Pelodiscus sinensis: one gene and its partner. Each later gene encodes a partner of the first gene's protein in a complex. Links are inferred from orthologs where the notes say so. Each region holds a gene or a part of one and is shown on either strand. Other genes may lie near its edges.

Evidence for each region.
Region 2: the proteins of LLGL1 (region 1) and PRKCI are in contact, whole or in part, in a cryo-EM structure (PDB 8R3Y), measured with the Homo sapiens proteins. The link is inferred for Pelodiscus sinensis from reciprocal best matches to the Homo sapiens genes LLGL1 and PRKCI. Residues at the interface, in NP_004131.4 of Homo sapiens: Ala315, Asp319, Glu367, His391, Ser392, Ala394, Thr396, Glu453, Cys483, Glu484, His485, Phe506, Asp507, Pro508, Tyr509, Ser510, Asp511, Pro513, Gln518, Lys519, Lys569, Ala600, Val601, Thr602, Leu644, Gly648, Pro649, Leu650, Ser651, Arg652; in NP_002731.4 of Homo sapiens: Asp339, Met341, Gln345, Arg348, Leu381, Asp382, Met399, Thr412, Phe413, Cys414, Pro417, Leu425, Glu445, Gly449, Arg450, Ser451, Gly457, Ser458, Ser459, Asp460, Asn461, Pro462, Asp463, Asn465, Thr466, Glu467, Asp468, Tyr469, Leu470, Phe471.

The regions. Positions count from the first base shown.
Region 1 is NC_134726.1:34,106,188-34,115,898, forward strand, and holds the start of LLGL1 (lethal(2) giant larvae protein homolog 1), read left to right. Parts: upstream 1-5,780; 5' UTR 5,781-5,795; coding exon 5,796-6,032; intron 6,033-7,426; coding exon 7,427-7,524; intron 7,525-9,711. UniProt on the Homo sapiens protein: Cortical cytoskeleton protein found in a complex involved in maintaining cell polarity and epithelial integrity. Involved in the regulation of mitotic spindle orientation, proliferation, differentiation and tissue organization of neuroepithelial cells.
Region 2 is NC_134720.1:38,760,716-38,770,654, reverse strand, and holds the start of PRKCI (protein kinase C iota type), read right to left. Parts: upstream 4,182-9,939; 5' UTR 3,831-4,181; coding exon 3,697-3,830; intron 1-3,696.

The DNA of each region.
Region 1 (9,711 bases):
TCCAAACACAAGTCTCACTCGGACCCCTCGGGGGGGACTTGGTGCCTCCCTGAAATGTGTAACTGTAGATGCTGGAACGGGGGAGAGAACGGGTGGCTTGAAGGGTGGCATCAGAGGGGAGAACTGGTTAGGTCCTCTAGATTGTCATGGACATAAGAACGGCCACACTGGGGCAGACCAAAGATCCATCTAGCCAGTGTCCTGTCTGCTGACAGTGGCCAATGCCAGATGCCCCAGAAGGAGGGAGCACAACAGGTAATCCTCATGTGATCCCTCCCCTGTCTCTCACTGCCAGAGAAACAGAGGCTGGGGACACCATTCCTACCCATCCTGGCTAATAGCATTGATGGGCCTAACCTCCATGAATCTATCTAGCTCTCTTTTGAACCCTGTTAAAGTTCTAACCTTCACTGCATCCTCTGGCAAGGAGTTCCACAGGGAAACAAGTAAGTGGGAATGACCTCCTGAGGTCTCTTCCAGCTCTGATTCTATGATTCTATAAGTGGCTGAATTAGGAGGGTTCTCTGCTTTAACTACTAGGCTGTTTTGCCAGCAGAGAACTCAAGTACACGGGTTGGGGATGGCCAGCAGAGGACACCCACAAGCGACTCGCAAGCAGCGAGTGACATTCACAGTCCTCCACACCCACTCCCTTAGAGAGGAAGCATCACCCACCCTCGAGGTTGGGAACAGCACCGCAGAAAGGAAACTGACGTGCCCAAGGTCAGCTGGTAGCTGCTCTAGCTTGTGTCATGGAAGAGAAGGGAGCCCACCACCTCCCCGTCACACCTATTGATCTGCTATGGCCCTTCTTGTCGCCTTAGGTCCTAGCTGTAGCCACGCCTCCCCCTCCCCAAGTCATGAATTACTTTTACATGCCAGTGGTGCGCCATCACGTGGGGATCCGGAGGAAGTGACTTGAGCACTAGAGAGGTTTTCTGCTCCCTTAGGGATGTAACCAGTTAACTGGTGGCCAGGCTGGGCTAGAGAGCGCCCCCACCTCCCCCCGTGCCTGCGGGATCCCAGTTAAGGGGTTAAATGTAACATTTAACCTAGGGCTATTCAATTTCGATTCATCAGCTCATCGAGTAGTTGATGGAATTTCCATCGAGTGGTCGATAAGGGGAAGTGCTCACTATCCAGCTACACCTCTGCCTTTGAAATGTACAAGAGCCACAGGCGGCTCTTGTACATTTCAACAGCAGAGGGGCAGCAGTTTGAAACCCAGCGAGTGGGGACTGCTTTGGTCCAATTCCCTGCTGCACCTCTGCCTCCCTTGCCCCTCCCTCTGCGGAGTCGGTGCTGGGGGGAGCGGCTTTTAAGCCACTTCCTCCCCCCGCCCCCCGATGCCTCTGATAGAAGCAGCAAGGTGGGGGGAGTGACTAGTCGAGCCTACGCTTATTGGGTAGTCGACTCGTCACTTACATCCCTGATTTAACCCGTTAACTGGTGCAAGGGGATTTTGCAGCTCTCTCCTGAAGCTATCGTCCAGATGACTCCAGCAGCAATGGTGCTCCTCGAAAGGCCGGCTGACTGTGGGGAGCTACCTTCTGGGCCCTCTTCTCCCGTTTGCTGGGGACGGATGCAAAGGGTGGGTGTGGCGCGGAGATTGCAGCTCATCCCGGTGCACTCACTAGTGCCGAGACTGGCGCACGAGCGGCGGAAGAGGGGATGCCTTGAGGATTGCGTGATGGCCACTTGTAAGCAAGAGCCTTAGAGGGGACTGTGGCGGAACCGCACTTCGTGCCTCTTCCTCTCCTTCTGATTTTGGAGGTTCGGAGTGATTGTTGTGGCCAGTCACGGATCCCCGGTCGTCCTCTCAAAAGACTAGAAGCGGCTAGAAACGCAGAGTCTCGCTTTCAAAGACAGGTCGCTCCTGCCTGGGAGAAGGCACCGCCTCCCGCCCAAAGGGAGCGGGCTGGTGGCAGCGGCCCTGTGCCAAGACGCCAGCTCGTCGGCGGTTGGCTGGACAAGTCACCGCAGAGAGCAAGTCGAGAGTGGATCTAGCTGGCCGCGGGGAGACGGGCCTTTGTATGAAGCCAGGCAAGGCGAGCGGGGGAGGCTCGCTGCAGGCGTGCGGTGATGCGCCACTGACTATTGCTGTAGCATGTGGAGTCGTTCCCGTCGGACTCCCCTTGGATGTTGCGTTACGGGTGCGGTGCAGGCCGGATCTGCTTGAGCAGGGGTGGCCGGTGAACTTTGGCAAACAGCCTCCCGGCATGTAATGCCTTGTCCTGCTGCCGAGGGGTTTTCTGCCTATGTAAGAGGTTGGAATATTCAGCCCTCCTGCTAGTTCTGCCTAATACCTTCCAGCGCCCTAGGAAGACGCCCCAAGTATCGCAGTGGTGCTCAATCTTCTTTCATTCACCGGGAACATTTTTGTTGAAGGGGGGAGAAAAAAAAACCTGCTGGGAACATTATTGTGGCCCCTTTAATTTAAAGCGCTGGTCCGCTCCCCTGCCACTTCCGCGTACGTCAGACGCCGGGAGTCCATGTACGTCAGGCGCCGAGCCGGGAAAACAAATTGCTGGCCAGCCCAGATCCAAGTGCTGCCACTCCACCCAGGAAGACAGGTTGCTCACCGCTGAAGTATTGTACCCAAACAAACGCACGTGCCCATCCCAGGTCCTGTACAGGTGTAGTCAGAGCCCTGGGATCTAATCGAGCTGTCCTGATGTCTGAATTCCGTACCAGCTGGTTCCCTCCCCTGGCTGGAGAGTGGGAGGAGCCGTCTGCGTGGCTGCAGGTGAACTCGCCCAGCAGAGCCTATTCGGAAGGGATCGGGTGCCTTCAGGAAAATGGGGACGAGCCAATTGGTTCGTGTCAATGAGGAATTCCGCAGCTGGGAATGAGACAGCAGGCCCCACCCGCTGATTGCTTCCTGGTTGGCTAGTTAGCCCAGGACAGTGATTAAGCTGATATCGGAGTAATTAAACCAGGGTGAGACGTGCAGCAGCATGGCTGTTAAACAGCCGCGCGCCTGCAGTACTTCGCTCACGTAATTGGTCTGCGGAAACCCATCAAAACGGAGAACCCACACGGAAGGGAAGAGCGCTGAACAGCTGGTGCATGAAATAAAAATAAAGTGTTTGCTGCTGACGGCTGGTAATAAACCAAATCTTCAGCTCCCAGTGGGAAAACCAGGGGAGGCAGTTGGAGAGGCGGGAGCATACGATTTTGGGAGCCGGGGGAAACATAAACTAGCAGATGGCTAACGTCAGTGTATGTGTGGTAGGGGGTAAGCTGCTAATCCGCTGCGGCTTGTCACTCGGGGGACAAAAAGGAAGGACTAAATGCATCTGCAGTACATCCTGCTCTCGGCCGAAAGGCAAAAGTTGCGTCCTGACCTGGCAGGTTGATCTGGGAATACTCTGTGGAGTGATGTCTTAGCTGTCATAGCCAGATATAAATCCCCGAGTGTGTTGCAGTCTTTTGTGCCTCTCTTTGCAGGTAGGGAAATTAATAACCATTTTATAGAGGGCGTGTGGACTAAGTGACTTGCCCAAGGTTGCACAGGAAGTCTGTAGCAGAGCAAGGAATTGAATCAGGGTCTTCTGGCCAACCACTGTGCCATTCCCCTGAGGAGGAGTCAGAGAGGCAGCCTCTAGTTAAAAAGGGTATGTAATTCCCTCTATATTTCAGCTGGGAGGACCCCTGTGTAGACTCGTGAAATTCTATAGCCCTTGACGTAGGAGATTGGTGAATGTTGCCCTCCATTCACCCCTTGTGATTGTGCAGTGTCTTGTCAGGGACAATGAATTGCCTTGTTTGGGGGACTTGGGAAAGCTGGATTGAATTCCTACTGCTCATGCTGACCTTGGGCACGTCAGTTTCCTTTCTGTGGCGCTGTTCCCTGCCTCGACAGCGGGTGATGCTTCCTCTCTGAGGGAGTGCGTGCTGAGGACTGTGAATGCCCCTCGCTGCTTGTGAGTCGCTTGCGGGTGTCCTCTGCTGGCCATCCCAACCCATGGGTCTGAGTTTTCTGCTGGCAAAACAACCTAGTAGTTAAAGCAGAGAACCCTCCTAGTCCAGCCACTTATTTGCTTTGTGACCTTGGGCATGTCACTTAGCCTTCCTGGTGTACCCCACTTACAGAATGGAGACCTACAACCCAGAGGGGCGGGGTGCAAACGGGTGGCTGCCAAGCACGGAGACCCTTGGATGGAAGGTGCCGAGGCAGCTCGGGTCTAGCTCCAAGGAGCCTGAATTCCAGACCGTAGCTTCACACTCAGTGACCCTTCTGGCTTGCTGAGGTCACAGCTCCTGTCCCCTCCTTCCTCCCGTGGGCTGCAGCACAGCGCGGGGCTGAGGGCCGTGCATGGTACTGACTCCGTCCTGCCGGAGGACCACCACTGGCGCTCCAGTTCAGTGCTCTCTGGTCGCTGTCTTGCGGGGCGGGATGGAAGATACATGCATCACCCGTGCATGGCTGCTGTGCCCTGCCGCTCTCCCCTTGATACGGTGGCCGACACCAGGGCAGATCCCAGCCCCGGTCCCAGGAGAAATGTGGCAGTATCGTGTCCAGGGCCTCCTCCAGTGTGAGGTGATGAGGTGTCGCTTGGTCCGAGATCTAAAGCCCCTGCTGGCATACAGACCCGGTGCCCAAACCTGCCCTTCGTCGGGCAAGGGCATTGACTTCATCCATAGCCTTTCCGCTGAGCTTCTGTGCAGGGCTGCGTAAGAATCCCGATCCCCTGCGTGGGGGGGTGAGTCTCTCACTGCTGCACTGGGCCCAGCAGCCGCCAGCAAATCGGGACTTGCTGAGTCTGGTCTGCGGTGCTCTGTGACCGTGCCCTTGTGGGGCTGGGATTTCCGGGGCCCTGTTTAGTTGCGCAGGAGTTGGCGTCAGTGCAGTGCCTTCGGAACAAGGGGGGCTGCTGGCTGGTTGTTCCCGAGCCGTCCTTTGACTGGCTTTGGGTAAACTCCCACCTGCCTCCCAAGCTGCCTCGTTATTTACAACTTGAATTGTCCTTGGATTCTAAGTCTACAAACCAACCTGCTTTTGCGCTTCCTGAGCATCCTTTAGTCTCGTCCTCCTCGAACTCCCCGCTCCGTCCTGTTGGAGAAAGTACTAGTTGTGCTGAAAGGGCCGCTTGGAACATCTGCCCCAGAGCCGCCACAAGGAGGCTGGCAGTGAGGAGATGCTAAGTGGACACGTGGGTTCGGAGTCTGTGCGTAGGCTCTTCCCAACAGCACCTTCCAGGCCATATTGTGACACAACGGCTAGTATCTACACGACAGCCGATGTTGGTGAAATGTCACTCGTGGTGTGACTGTTGCACCTCCTGAGCCATGTAAGTTTCACTGACAGCGCAGTGCGCACGTGTGTGTGTGTGTGTGTGTGTGTGTGTGTGTGTGTGTTAGCCAGAGAGCTACTGCTGCTTGTGGAGATGGGTGAGGTCTGTGCATAGGGTGGGGGGTGTGTGTGTGTGTGAGAGAGAGAGAGAGCGCGCTGCTGCCGCTTGTGGAGATGGGTGAGCATTGTGCACAGGAGGGGTGTGTGTGTGTGACACACACACACACACACACACACACACACACTTGCTGCCGCTTGTGGAGGTGACTGTGTTGTGCCAGCCAGCTCTCTCCCATCGGCACGGAGCATCTTCATCAGACACGCTGCAGCGGCCCAGCATTGTGCACATAGACTGGCCCTAGTCCTGGAGACAGTGGCACAGCCCTGGGGAGAGCCTTCTGCGGGAAGTGCCCCGTGTTAGATGGCCCTGTTGGCGGGATGGGTCGTACCCCTGAGCATCTGCGGAGGGGATGAGCCTCATGCGCTTGGGGCAGGAGGAATGTACCGTCCTGTGCTCTGCGCCTGTAACGGGGGCTCTTGCCGATGCCACTTCCTGGATAACGCCGTTCTGAGCGCTGTCGGTGCCAAAACATCCTGTTTCTCCGTGTGGCAGATGAGTGAAGTTCGTCGAGTTGCTGAGGGGAGCCCCCCTCGGGCCTGCTGCTCCCAGCTCTGGTTGCTAGCGAATAGGATGCCCATGCCCCCCTGCTCGGCCGCGGGGGGCCCCGTTCTGAGGGTGAGGAACGTGTTCTCTGGGGGGCTGCCCGGAGCTACGCTGCTTGCCAAGGGGCCGTGAGGGAAGAGGGGAGTGTCCGCGGCGCGAGAGCCAAGCTTCCTTCTCCTTCCTGCGCTGAGCTCAGCTTGACCCCAGCCCTTGAGAGAGGGGGCGGGAACTGGCCACAAGGAGGCTTGCGGGTTGGTCCTGAAAAAATCCCCCAACCGCCTGGTCCTTGGATGGACGGAGGGCAGCTGGGACCGCTCGGGGGAGGCGGGGGGGAGGGAGCGACTCAGGCTGCTCTTCCAGCCAAGCCTGACGAGTCCGTTCCCCTCTTCCTCCCGTCCACTTCTCCGAACTCCTGGCCGCCTGGGAGGCCCCTGAGGTGGGAGCTGTGAGAGGAGAGGCCGCAGCTGCACCCGGCGGGCTGCGGGGGCGCTTAACTTTCCGGAGGGGAGGCTGTGGCCAGCAAGAGAAGGCCTCCGGCTGTCTCTGGAGCGCTGCTCCTGTAGCTGCTGCTCGGAGCCCTTGCTGCAAAGAGCAGGCGGAGGCCGGCGCGAAGGCGAGGCTGGCGCTGCCTCCTGGCTGTTGCGTGCAGCTGTTTGAAAGGCTTCGCAGACCCTGGGATGCTCAGGGATTGGCCACTCTCTTTCTCTGCGTCCAGCTCAGTCGCCGCAAGCTGTCTCGAGCCAGGGCTGCTAGATTAGGCGGCTGTTCACCGCGTGTGGGGTGATTGGACCTGTTGTCCTGACTCTCTCCCTGTCGTGCTGCCATCTGGGGCAGGGCCCAGCTTCCTACGCTCTGAACCCTCCGGGTCAATGTTCCCCTTAAGTTTTTTCCACCCATGTGTGGAATAAATTTTATGTGCACTGATGAATCCCTCCTGGGCGGCTGCTTTTGGGGAACGCTGCTCTCGGCCCTGATCCTGGGCTGAGCTCTGCAGGGCTTGTCAGAGCACAAGTCGCTCTGAGGAGCAGGGAAGACGTGGTCTGACTGTTTTCGGTCCATGCCAGGGCTCAAGCTTGCCCAAGGGCTAGGCTGGGGTGTGTGGGTCTTGCCTAGCCCACCTGGGCAATGGGTTAACAGGGCAGGGCTGCCTGTAGCTGCCCTGTCCCGTGAAAATCACTTTCAGGGAGGTGCTCGGGGATTCGGCCTCCAAGAGCGTGAGTCCTTCTCCTCCCGGCTCCTCCCCAGCACTGCAGGGAGGGGTGGGCTGCACATGGCGAGATCTTGTGGGCCCGGTAAATAAGGATGCGACTGAAGTTGTGCACACACTGCCCAAGCCCACAGAGGCTGCACCGGCGGGAGGTTTTGAGTGGGGCCACGGGTGACCCTCTCTTGGGGCTCACAACGAGTCCGTCTCGCACCGCTGGACTCTGACGGGTGACGTCTCATTTCTCTCGTCTTCCTCCTAGACGGTAGAACATGGGTTCCCCAACCAGCCGAGCTCCCTGGCCTACGACCCCAAGCTGAGAATTATGGCAGTCGGCACCAAATCGGGAGCTGTGAAAGTGTATCCTTTCCTGGATGTGCTCTCTTGGGAGACTCCGGAGAAGGGCAGAAGGTAAGGTCACCTCGGGCCAGCTGCGGGGCGAACTTGCTGTTGCCCGTGGGTTGCTTTCCAGCTACCACCAGGCATGGTCTTAACATCCTCTGGCAAGGAGTTCCACAGGTTGACTGTGTGCTGCATGAAGAAAAACGCCCTTTTGTTTGTTTTAAACCTGCTACCTATTATTTTCATTTGGGGAGCCCTCGTCCCCTAGAGGCGTTCTCTATTGCCCTGGGAGGTGTTGGGACTGTCCTGCGCCAGGGCTGTATTTCTGTCCAGCTTGCTGCGGCTCCAGGATCTATCTGGCAGCTGATCTCAACTCATTAGCTCCCCTGTGGCTTTGAAAATTGGACCTGCGGCTGAGCGCCAGGTGTGTTGGATGGGGAAGTGGGGTTTCTCGGCCCGTGGAACAGCCTTGACCCTGGGGAGCTGGCTGGCTGCCCTGTCCAGATGAGTGTGCAAAGTCGGGCTCGCAGCGAGGAGCTTTTATTTTTCTTGCCTCTGCAAAATCTCTCTGCCTTGACTGCAGCCATGCTGAAAGCCTTGGCTACCCGTGTCCTCTCTGTGCCTGGGCTGAAGGCTGCGGAGCTGGGAGCTTTGGAGGGCTCCACGGAGCCCGGCTTGGTGGTGTCTTGACTCTCGTAACCCACTGCGAATGGGTGTTCCCCGCTGCGCCTGCCAGTTTGCTCCAGCGTGGCTCCTTGTGGGCAGGGGCTGTTTATGCAGCTCTAAAGCGAGGGCACAGTTCTGGTGCCAGGCGAGAGGGGATAGGGCCTGGGTAAGGAGCAGACGCGCTGGAGGCAGGTAGGAGGACAGCCAGAGGTGCAGCGACCTCCCCAGGTGTCTGCTTCGGAGGTAGCGGCAGGAGCACATGCCCGGAGTCTGGGATCTCCTCGCTCTGCCCCCGACCCTGTTCGTGGGTCCTCGCTTGTGCCCCCATGTGCTCCCCAGGGAGGCTGGTGTTTACCTGCTTCCTGGGGCGGTTCCCTGAGCGTGAGTCACCAGGCTCGGGGAGGAGAAGTGATGTCACCGCTCTGTGGTCCAGCCGTGGAGGTTGGGGAGGGCTGCGTGAGCCCCGGATCTGGTGGGCGGGCGGGAGGGCACGCCCTCGCCCTCTCCCTGCATGGGCGTTGCTGCGAATAGCTCTGGCCAAGATTCCAGCCTCAGCAATCAGCTGTCGGGCAAAGCTGTGACTCAGAGTTGATCCTCCCCTGAGCGCGGCTTTTCGGCTTCCAGCAGGGCGGGTGATGTTTCCTCAGTGCCTAGCAACTGGCTTGCTGATAAATAGCAGCTACGGCTGAGGGGGGGATACAGGGGGGGCTGAACGGAGACATCTGGATGGCTGTGGAGCCTTGGCCGGACGGCCCCTGGTGGGCCTCGGCTTGGCCAAGTGTGGGGACAGTGAGTGAATGACGCAGGCTTGCATCTGACACCCACCAGCTCTGCCTAACCCAGCCGTGCTCTCCTGCTAGGCTAGCGTTCCCTCTGCCGGAGGTGCAGCCGGCCCTTGACTCGTTGGAGACTCCTGTTCCCATCTTAGTCCTCTGAGACAGCTGTGATGTCCTGCTGCCGTGTGCCCGTCCGCCTCCGACCACACACTTCACGTGCTTGGCTGCCATGCGGCTGCTTTCTGCTGTGAATAGACAGGCTGAGCCAGTCCCCAAAGGGCAACTTCATTAGCCCAGGCTCTTGGATCTCCTTAGTGTGGCAAACCAAACCCCTCTGCAGCCCCTCACGTCAAGCATAAGCCTGCCCTGGCTATCGCTTGTCTTGGGGGTGGAGGGAAAGCAGCAGGGCTCTCTCCACAGAGCCCAATCCAGGGCCTAGACCCGGCTCTGCCGCAGCTGGAGTGTCTGACGGGGTGTTGGATGAACGAGCCGAGTTAAAATCCAAGCGCCTTGTTCCCAACGGGCGGGGAAGGAAACAGCTGAGCTTGCTCCAAATATGGCACGTGACTTATGAAGGGAGCCTGCCTCTGCTCTCCGTGGACGTGGTGTCCGTGCTCACCGTGGAGCGGTGCCCAGGGGAAACGGCCGATCCGGCACTCGGAGCTGGCCTTCCCGGATCCTGCCAGGGGCTCGCAGTAGGGGACAGAGTTCCCCTCCCCCCCGCTGGCTTCCAGCTGTCTGTGTGATGCCAAAGAATGAGTGC
Region 2 (9,939 bases), on another chromosome or scaffold:
AGATTAACTACTATGTACAGTGAGGATAGAGACTACATTCTTTAGAATCTTACATCTAAATGCTTTGGGGGGGGGGGGGGAACCCAGCTCCTCCAAACATACTCCCATGTCAAACATGCATGCTTTTGAGGAGGTCTAATTACGTCACTCAGAAAGTCACATAATGTAAAACTCCTTGAATGAGTCTGCTGTTTCAATATTCTCATTCAGTACTAGGAATGTGAAAGGTTAACATCATCAGTTTAAGTGGTAACTGATGGGGGCTGGAGCAAGAGGCAGGGGCTTCTCCAGCAGCCCCTGTCTGCAGGGAGTCCAGTCTGGGCCCACCATGGAGAGGGACTGCTCTGGTGGGGAACTGGGAGCTGGTAGTAATCCCAATCCAAACATGGTGCTGAGAGCTGACAACCAGCCCCAGCATAGGGCTGGGGCAGGACCCTGGTAGGTCAGGGGCTGCTCCAGCCGTGCTGGAGTGGTCCCCAGTCCAGATTCCGCTTTAGTCGATAACTAGTTAAATGTTAGGTAAACCTAATTTTTAACCAGTTAACTGATTAACCAGGATTTCACATCCTGATGTACCAAATCAGAACCCTTTGCAGCATGATTTTAAGTGGCTCATCTTATAATGGAGGCTTTAAGGTTTGGAGATCACCTACCCCTGCACACTGAGATTTAATTGCTAATTATGCTTGAAGACTCAATTATCCTCCTGCAAGGATTAATATTTATAGTGGAGCATAGGTAGATATTTCATTTATGAAAAGACAACGTAAAAAGTTTACTCTCAATATATTCCTTCACAGAAGGTCATGCTTGACTATTGCAATTAAAGAAGTTTGGTCAAGGCAGAGGAGAAAGACTTTTTACTCATTTAATATCCCTAGATTATGGCATGAGTTAGTACGGCGTTAACAATCGGGTATCTGTGTAAACGTGTAACCGCTTGAAATTTTGATTTAAAAACCCTGTCAGAATGTAAGACCTAAAATCAAATCATGAGTAAGGCATTCTAGTCAGATAGCATGTTTACAGCAGGATCATTGACCAATTCCGTGTGAGTCATTTCAGTTCCAGGTTTAGTAATAAACTTCTGACTCCATTAACACCGTCCAGGTAAAGAGTCAATAAACGAAACATTCAAAAGAAGAGAATTTCCTTGTTAGTAATGCCAATTCAAATAATCAAACCAAGTGGCATAATTCATAGAGAAGCTGGTCAAGAGAAGCCTAGAAAAAGATTCTGAGACATATTATAGGTCAGGAATGAAACTGTCTGACAACATCAAATGCAGAAAAGGTTTATGGTGCTCAGTCCACACGACTTTTTAAACTTTATTAAAAATTATGGAACTGCAGATATGCCTTAGAGTGTCACTATTACTGAATGGAAAACACTTTATTTAAAAAATGGTTGCTCTGCCTTCATCCAGCTTTCTGTCAAGAAATGAGATGGTCTTTCTATGTGTACCACTGTCTAAAATGAATATTAACCTATATTTTATATACTTGGCGTGTGATTTCTTTGGGGCAAGAGCTCTATTTTCCGAAGTATCCGTTCACTGTTTAGCACAATAGGGTCATAATTCTCTATTGGGATATATACTTTAGGAGAATTTGTGTCTGTCTGTCTCTCTGCATGTCCGTCCATCTGTGTATGAGTCTGTTTGTTCAAGAACTCCTCCTAAAAGCTAGGAACTAGAATCACCAAATTTAGTATGTAGCTTCCCCTTATAACTTAAAGCGAGATAAAAGCATTTGGCTGTGCCAGGACAATGGGATGTGTGATTGTGTTTGTTTCTTATTAAACTGAAAAGGCAGTACAATTATACTCCCAAATGACCATGGGGAGAGGGAAGAGACAGCAAGCTCCCAAGCCCCTGAGGAGTGGCCAAGTTGCATGGCCCCCGCTGGCCTGGGGAACTGGCTGGCAGATGGGCAGCATGTCCCCTCCCCCTCGCCCCGACCTGAGGGGCAGCTGCCATCCGCCCAACACCCTGCCCTGAGCACCCCACTTTCTCTCCTACACCTTCCAACCACTTTCCTGACTCCTGCACGCCCCCCATCCCTTGCCCTGAACCCCTCTTCATCTCCCAACCCTGACCCCTGTATCCCCCACATCCTCAAGACCTTGCCCTGACTCCTGTACCCCCATACCTTTGACTCTGTGCTCTGAAGGATCTGAGCAATGCTGGGTAAAACTTCTAGTAGTACAAAAAGCAAATAATTCAAATCTTTCTAAAAATACTGTAAATAAATGAGCTACAGTGTATTCATTCGGAACAGCTGTCAGCTGTTATAAAAGATATTCCAGCAGGGATAGACAAGTAGGAGGCCCTTCTTCACCTCAGTGGGCTGCAGCCGCCCACGGGGGTTCCACCTGTGACCACCCTCCCCCATGCACCTCTGCGCTGTACTTATCTGCTCCTCCCTCTCCCTTCCAGCACTTTCAGTGTGCACAAACTGCCTGATCTGCACTCCATCCCTCTTCTCCTCCTTCCTCCCAGAGCCAGACTACCATGAACCGCTGACTTGTGGCATTCCAGCTCTGAGGCATTTGTGGCATTTCAGCAGGAAGTGTGAGGCTCCAGTACTGTACCTTGTTGTGCAAGAAGCGCATGGGGAAGGAGGACAGCCAGGGGGTCCATGAGCTGCAGGTGGAGTGCCAGTTGGCCGTATATGGCCTGCAGGCCACAGATTCCCCACCAGTGGGATTAGAGCATTCAAGAGGATAAAGGCAAAAGGGAAAGTTATCCCATAGATTCATGTGGGCAATGAACAAACTGATAATCTGGAGCCAGCATGGCATCATCTCTTCACGTGTCTCTTATAGGCCTTTTCCCACAAGCAGCTTCATGAAAGGTGACTGACACTCCCTCCCCCCCGACATGTACCTGGAACACAATCCCTGTTGGTTATAACTGCGTTCAAGCAATTGCTCAAGAACCATTTCTTAAAAAAAAACAAACACGGTAGCTGGCAAGTTTTGGTGTTTTATGGATACGCAGAAAAAATACTTAACTGCCAACAGCGCAGCCCAGTTTAAACAGGGTGTACTGATGTTGCACAAGCTAATTGACAGAAGTTTTAGCGCTGAAAAAATCACTCTGAACATTGTTACAAGCAGCAGGATCAGAATCCACACACCCCTCTCTCGCCCAGCCGAAAACAAAATTCCCCAAAAAAAGAGGCATTCGCGTTATTTCACCACCGGGGAGGAGGGTCAGTATTTTCAAGTCACGGACTCCTAAGGCCAACCCAAGTGTCCACCCGATCTAGTCAACCCGTACGCAAAGTTCTCACCTAACTCGGCCGAAGGTGCCTCCCCACAAAGACCCACCTCCCTTAGAGCCCCTTCGGCAGATGCTCCTTCCGCAGCTCTACAACCCCCCACGACCACTGCCGACGCCCGGAACCGCTACAAGCCCGCCGCTCCCCTCCCACCAAACCCCTTCCGGGACCCGCTTCTCTAGACTCGCCCTTTCCAGACCCCCGAGGCCTGGCTCCAGTAAGGGCCCATTCGGTGTTGGGAGCCGCCGCCGCCACCCCACGATGATCACCGACAGCGGGTGCCCCTGTGCTCGTCTCCCCCCGGAGCCGCATTCACTCCAGCACACTCCCCCCACCGCCCTCCGGCCCGACCTCCACTCCCACCGGGCTCCCCAATCCCCGCCGGGTGCCCCGCCCCGGCCGTGTCACTCACCCTTTGTAGTAGGCTTTCACCCGCACCTGGTGGGCGCTATCCCCGCAGAGGCCGCCGCCGCCGCCGCCCAGCGTCGGGTGGGACATGGTGGTGCTGGTGCCGCTGCCGCCGCTACTCTCCCGCTGCGTCGGCATCTCCCCCGGCCCCGCCAGAGGAGCAGGCAAGGAGGGAACGAGCGACCCCGCCGCCACCCCACAGGCTCCAGGAAACGCTTCCGTCCCGCCCCTCCTACGGGCGCCTCAGAGTCAGCCCAGCCCGCGGCGGGCCGCGCCAAGGGCCCATGCTCGGTGGGGGAGGGAGGAACAAACCACTTCTTGGAGCGAAAGGGAGGGAAGAAGCAAGGCGCGAACAAACCAAGTCAGCGAGGGGGAGAGACGGGATCAGCCCATGCGCCACAACTCTGTGTGTGTGGGGAGGGGGGGTACACTACTCCTTCCGGAGAGAGCAGGCAAGCACCCCCTCCTCCCACCATTTGCTTCCTTAGTCTCCTCCAGGACACACCTGTTGGGGAGGGGGGGACTGTTCTCCGCTCTTGGGAAGGAAGGGGCGGAACAAACCCGAACCCCCTCAGAAAGGCACCAAAGCGATTTATCCCGAGACAAACGATCCAGGAAAAGCTGTACCCCCCATTTTCTCTCGCATCCCGTGCTAAAGTGAAGGCGTGCGACAACAATGATACCTATGTTATCCGCAGTTGGTAGAGTCCACAGGTTTCTGGCCGGGAGGGAGAGGGGGAAGGAGGCTTGTAGAGGAGCGAGCCAAAGCCGTGGGGAATTCTGGAACTCGTAGTCACTAAGGTTCAGGGGGCACGCGCCACCGCTGCTCCTCCCCCCTTCTCCTACTTGCCACAATGGAGCAGTAGCGTGTGCGGGTGACGTGTGCAGAGAGATTTTACAGGGAAGGGGCTGCCTGGGGTGGAACAGCAGCATCTTGGTTGGTGCTCTTCACTAGGAGAAGTCAAGGGCAGGGAGTTTGCTATCTGGGGTAGGTTGTACCAGAAGAACTGTTCCATGAGGGCTACGTCTAGACTGGCATGATTTTCCGGAAATGCTTTTAACGGAAAAGTTTTCCGTTAAAAGCATTTTCGGAAAAGCGCGTCTAGATTGGCAGGACGCTTTTCCGCAAAAGCACTTTTTGTGGAAAAGTGTCCGTGGCCAATCTAGACGCGCTTTTCCGCAAAAAAGCCCCGATGGTCATTTCCGCGATCGGGGCTTTTTTGCGGAAAACAAATCTCTGCTTTCTACACTGGCCCTTTAGCGCAAAAGTTTTTCGGAAAAAGACTTTTGCCCCAACGGGAGCAGCATAGTATTTCCGCAAAAACACTGACAATCTTACATGAGATTGTCAGTGCTTTTGCGGAAATTCAAGCGGCCAGTGTAGACAGCTCGCAAGTTTTTCCGGAAAAGTGGCTGCTTTTCTGGAAAAAGTTGTCAGTCTAGACACAGCGGAGGTGTGTGAAGTCAAGAGGCGTTGTGTAAAGTTAAACTCGTCCTTGAATGTTTTGATGAATTTGAGCCCAGTCCAATTCCTGTTTTAGTGCAGTGTCATTGCAGTATTGTTGGTCCCAGGGTATTACAGAGAGGAGGTGAGTGAGGTAACCATAACATCTTTTATTGGACAAACTTCTGTTGGCAAGAGAGATAAGCTCTGTGTAAAATCGAAAGTGCTCTCTCTCTCTCTCAGCAACAGAAATTGGCCCAATAAAAGAAGTTACCTCACCCATTCCTTATCTATGTATTTTAATGGAAATCATAACAGGTGTTTTGGCAGTAGCAGTGACACCTAGAACAGTATTTCCTGAAACTCACTGCAAAGTTCCTTTTTTAGCACGCAGATATGATTTACCATTGTTTTGAGGTTATGACTAATTAACAGGTTTGAATTCAACAAATTATCGAAATCTACATGGCCTACAGTGTTCACTGCAGCATTCAGGTGCAACAGGATAGAGTGGCAGCAATAATTTGATACAACAATCTACTCTAGTTTTCAAGGGAGACCAGTAATTTGGTGAGGAGCGTTCTGCAGTACAGGCAGTCCCCGGGTTACGTACAAGATAGGGACTGTAGGTTTGTTCTTAAGTTGAATTTGTATGTAAGTCGGAAATGGCATCCAGATTCAGCCACTGCTGAAACTGACCAGCGGCTGACTACAGGAAGCCCGAGGCAGAGTTGCTCTGCCCCGGGCTTCCTGGAATCAGCCGCTGATCAGTTTCAACAGGCTGAATCTGGACGCCAGTTCTTACATACAGATTCAACTTAAGAACCTCAGGCGTCCCCAAGTCAGCTGCTGCTGAAACTGATCAGCGGCTGATTCCAGGAAGCCCGGGACAGAGCAACTCTGCCTAGGGCTTCATGTAGTCAGCGCTGGTCAGTTTCAGCAGCGGCTGACTTGGGGACGCGTGGGGCAGAGCAGCTGGGGTGCTGCTGGGTGGCTTCAGTAGCGCCGCTCCTCAACGCTACTGGACCAACCCAGCAGCACCCCAGCTGCTCTGCCCCAGGCGTCCTGATTCAGCCGCTGCTGAAACTGACCAGCAGCGGCTGAATCAGGACGCCTGGGGCAGAGCAGCTGGGGTGCTGCCGGGTTGGTCCAGTAGCGCCCAGAGCGGCACTACGGGACCAACCGGCAGTGCCCCAGCTGCTCTACCACAGGCGTCTGGAGAAAAGCCTGGTCTGCTGGGGGGAGGAGGGCGCACTAGTTGCGCCTTCCCCCCCCCCCCCCCAGCAGACCAAGGAGATGCGGGTGGCGGACCGAGACGCACCGCGGTCCCACCGCCCGGGTCCTCCGCGGCTTTGCTCCGCGTCTCCCTGGTCTGCTGGTCTCCAGCAGACCAGGGAGACGCGGAGCAAAGCCGCGGAGCACGCGGGCAGCGGGACAGCCCAGACGCGCCGCGGCTGTCCCGCTGTCCGTGTGCTCCGCGGCTTTGCTCCCCGTCTCCCTGGTCTGCTGGTCTACTGGAGACCAGCAGACCAGGGAGACGCGGAGCAGCTTTTCTCGCCCCGGAGGACGTGGGCGGCGGGACCACGGCGCATCTGGGCGTCCCGCTGCTCCCATCCTCCGGGGCGAGAAAAATCCCATTCGTAACTGCGGATCCGACATAAGTCGGATCCGCATAACTCGGGGACTGCCTGTACTGTAAAATACTCAGGAAGCCTGAATGATCTATTCTCATTTTTCACCTTCATCCACTAATATGAGTGTCATTTTAAACCTGTTTCTGTAGGACGCAAAAGAAGGTCATCAATAATTTACCAGAAGGAAATGTAGCCATGGTAACTCTTTGTCTGCTTAGAAGAAATAATTCAATCATATAGTTAGAGGTTTCTAGATCTGTTTTTCTTTCCTGACAATCAGCTAGAGACCTTGTCTAAAAGTAGTGGCAGTAGAAACAAGTGGAGTGACCTATTATAGGATAATTTAACTGGGGATAAGCTAGTCAGTGCACTTGTTAATTACCCCAAGAAAAAAGGGGAATCCACACATTCAGATATGGACCTAACCTAAAGTTAGAATTTACATTCAACAGCATCCAATAAACAAGGCCTGGTCTACACACAAAAATTAGGTCAACCTCGTTACGTGGTCAGGGGTGTGAAAATTCCAATCACTGGCTGATTTACCTATCCTGACTTAATTGCTAATGTAGACACAGCTATGTCTTCTTATGTCAGTGTAGCTACTGTCATTGGGAGAGGTGGTGTTCCCAAAAACAATGGGGAAGAACCCATTCCCTCAGTACAGGATGTATCTAAATGTGGTATTGCCAGCATAGCTACAGCAACATAGTCTATATCAGAGCTGCTCAACATACAGCCCACAGGTCGCATGCAGCCTGTTTGTTTGCAGCCCTCAGTGCACTTTGGGTTTATGCAGGGCTCCACATGCGGCCCACAGGTGGGATCCTTTGAACATGGCCACCACTGGGAATACACTCCATAACAGCGAGTCACTATAATGGTCTTCTGTTGATATGCATTTTAGTAGTAATATGCATTCCTGGACTGTCATTGCTGTCATATGGGTGAAAATCGGGTAAATATTGCATTTTATTAATATCAGCAGAACTGACTTAAATGGGGCCTGTGTGTTGTGTAGTCTTGCCTTAATCTTTGTATTCATGCCTGTCAGTGTGAAAGAAGATATTTGCATATATATTTGCATGTATATGCAACCACACTTAAGTTGTGGCCCCCTGCATGTGCTGTGAGTATCACTGTGGCCCCTGGGGCTTCCAAAGTTGAGTAGCTCTGGTCTATATGTTGGTATAGTGGTGGTATAGTCTCCATAATGCAGACATGCCTAAAAACTTTCATTTACAGAGCTCAAATAACATAGGGTAACAATATGTATATTTTAGTCAAACACATGCTTTGATAAGAAAACAGTTGTTTCCTGGGGAATAATTACAAATCTAGTTGCTAACAACCTGGAACAAGACTTTAACCCTTGGCCTGCCAGCCATCATACAAAAATTATCAGCCTGCTATACTTCTGTAATGCGAAATCTTAAATTATCTCCCTCTATTTTGTGACACTGATAGACCAACCAACCTAATGACTCATAGGCTACGTAATTTTCCGGAAATGCTTTTAACGGAAAAGTTTTCCATTAAAAACATTTTCGGAACAGAGCGTCTAGATTGACACGGATGCTTTTCCGCAAAAGCACTTTTTGCGGAAAAGCGTCCATGCCAATCTAGACATGCTTTTCTGCAAAAAAGCCCTGATTGCCATTTTCGCGATTGGGGCTTTTTTGCGGAAAACAAATCTGAGCTGTCTACACTGGCCCTTTTGCGCAAAAGTTTTGCTCAAAAGGACTTTTGCCCGAACGGGAACAGCATAGTATTTCCGCAAGAACACTGACAATATTACATGAGATCATCAGTGCTTTTGTGGAAATTCAAGCAGCCAGTGTAGACAGCTGGCAAGTTTTTCCGGAAAAGCAGCTGATTTTCCGGATAAACTGGCCAGTCTAGACACAGCCATATTGTATGACCCATGATAATTTAACAGGAGGCATTACAACTGTAATCAGGTCTATCTACTTGGATATGATTTTCAGAGATGTACTAGATAAGCAATCATCAACACATTCATTTGTAGTAAAAGAAATCAAGGATTGATGTTAAATGTGTTTTTCTGTGTTTACCTCTTTCTTGTTAGAGGTTTAAAAATAAAACTGATTAGTTTGTAGATGCTAATCCATTCTAGGGATGTTAAATGGCATTTAATTAGCTAATTGACTAGTTGATGGAATTTCCATCAATTAGTTGATTAATTGATAAGGAGGAAAAACTGCAGAGCTGCAGCAGGGTTAGTTCCTGGTTCCGTAAGCCATGCTGCAGCTCTGCCTGTTAAATGTATTAAGAGCCATCTGACTTTTAATACATTTAAAAAGTACAAATGCAGGGGGGAACTGGGCACAAGCCAGGAATCAGCTGATTCCTGGCTCATGCCCAGTCCCCCCCGCTATGCCTCTACCTCTCTGACTCCCCAGGAGATGGTGCTGGGGGGGCGACCAGCTTATAAGCCGGCTCCCCCAGCACTGGCTCCTGCTCCCCCACTGTGACATAGTGTTGGTACCTTGCTGGTTGCTAGGCTTGGGCTGTGGGTGACCACCACTGGTTACTGTCTGTACCATGGCCCAGCAGAGTAGGTGATGGGACAGGGAGGTAACCTGTTCGACCAGTTACCTCCCAGGGAGAGGAACAAAGGAAGGTGGAATGCCGCCCCTGGCTGGGGGGCAGAGCTGGAAGGGATAGTCTTTTAGAGTCTGTCTGGGAAGCAGGGGAGAAGGAGCTGGGGGGGGGGGGGGGGGCTGGGATTGTAGGGCCCAGCCACCCCCCATCTCAAGGGGGGGCACTGAGGCCTCCTAGCCCCAGTCCCTGTAACAAGATTACATCTGTGCTGCGCTGTATCCTAGAGAAGCAATAAACTCCCTCTATTCTACTGGCTGGTGGAGTCTGTTTGTGCCACTATGGGGGTGCAGAAGGCAGGGGATCCCGACGCGCCGCCACACCCACTTACTGCCTCTCTCTGATAGAGGCAACAAGAGCAGGGAAGCGGCTGGTCAAGTCACTAGTTGACTAGTTGCTTACATCCCTAATCCATTCCATGGCTTAATTATGTATGTAATTGTGGCCAGTTAACCATAAGACCAAAGATATAAGATACTGCAGGAAACTAATAATATTATCTACATTATCTTTTGTTTAACTGTGTTATAATGATGGGACAGTTAAT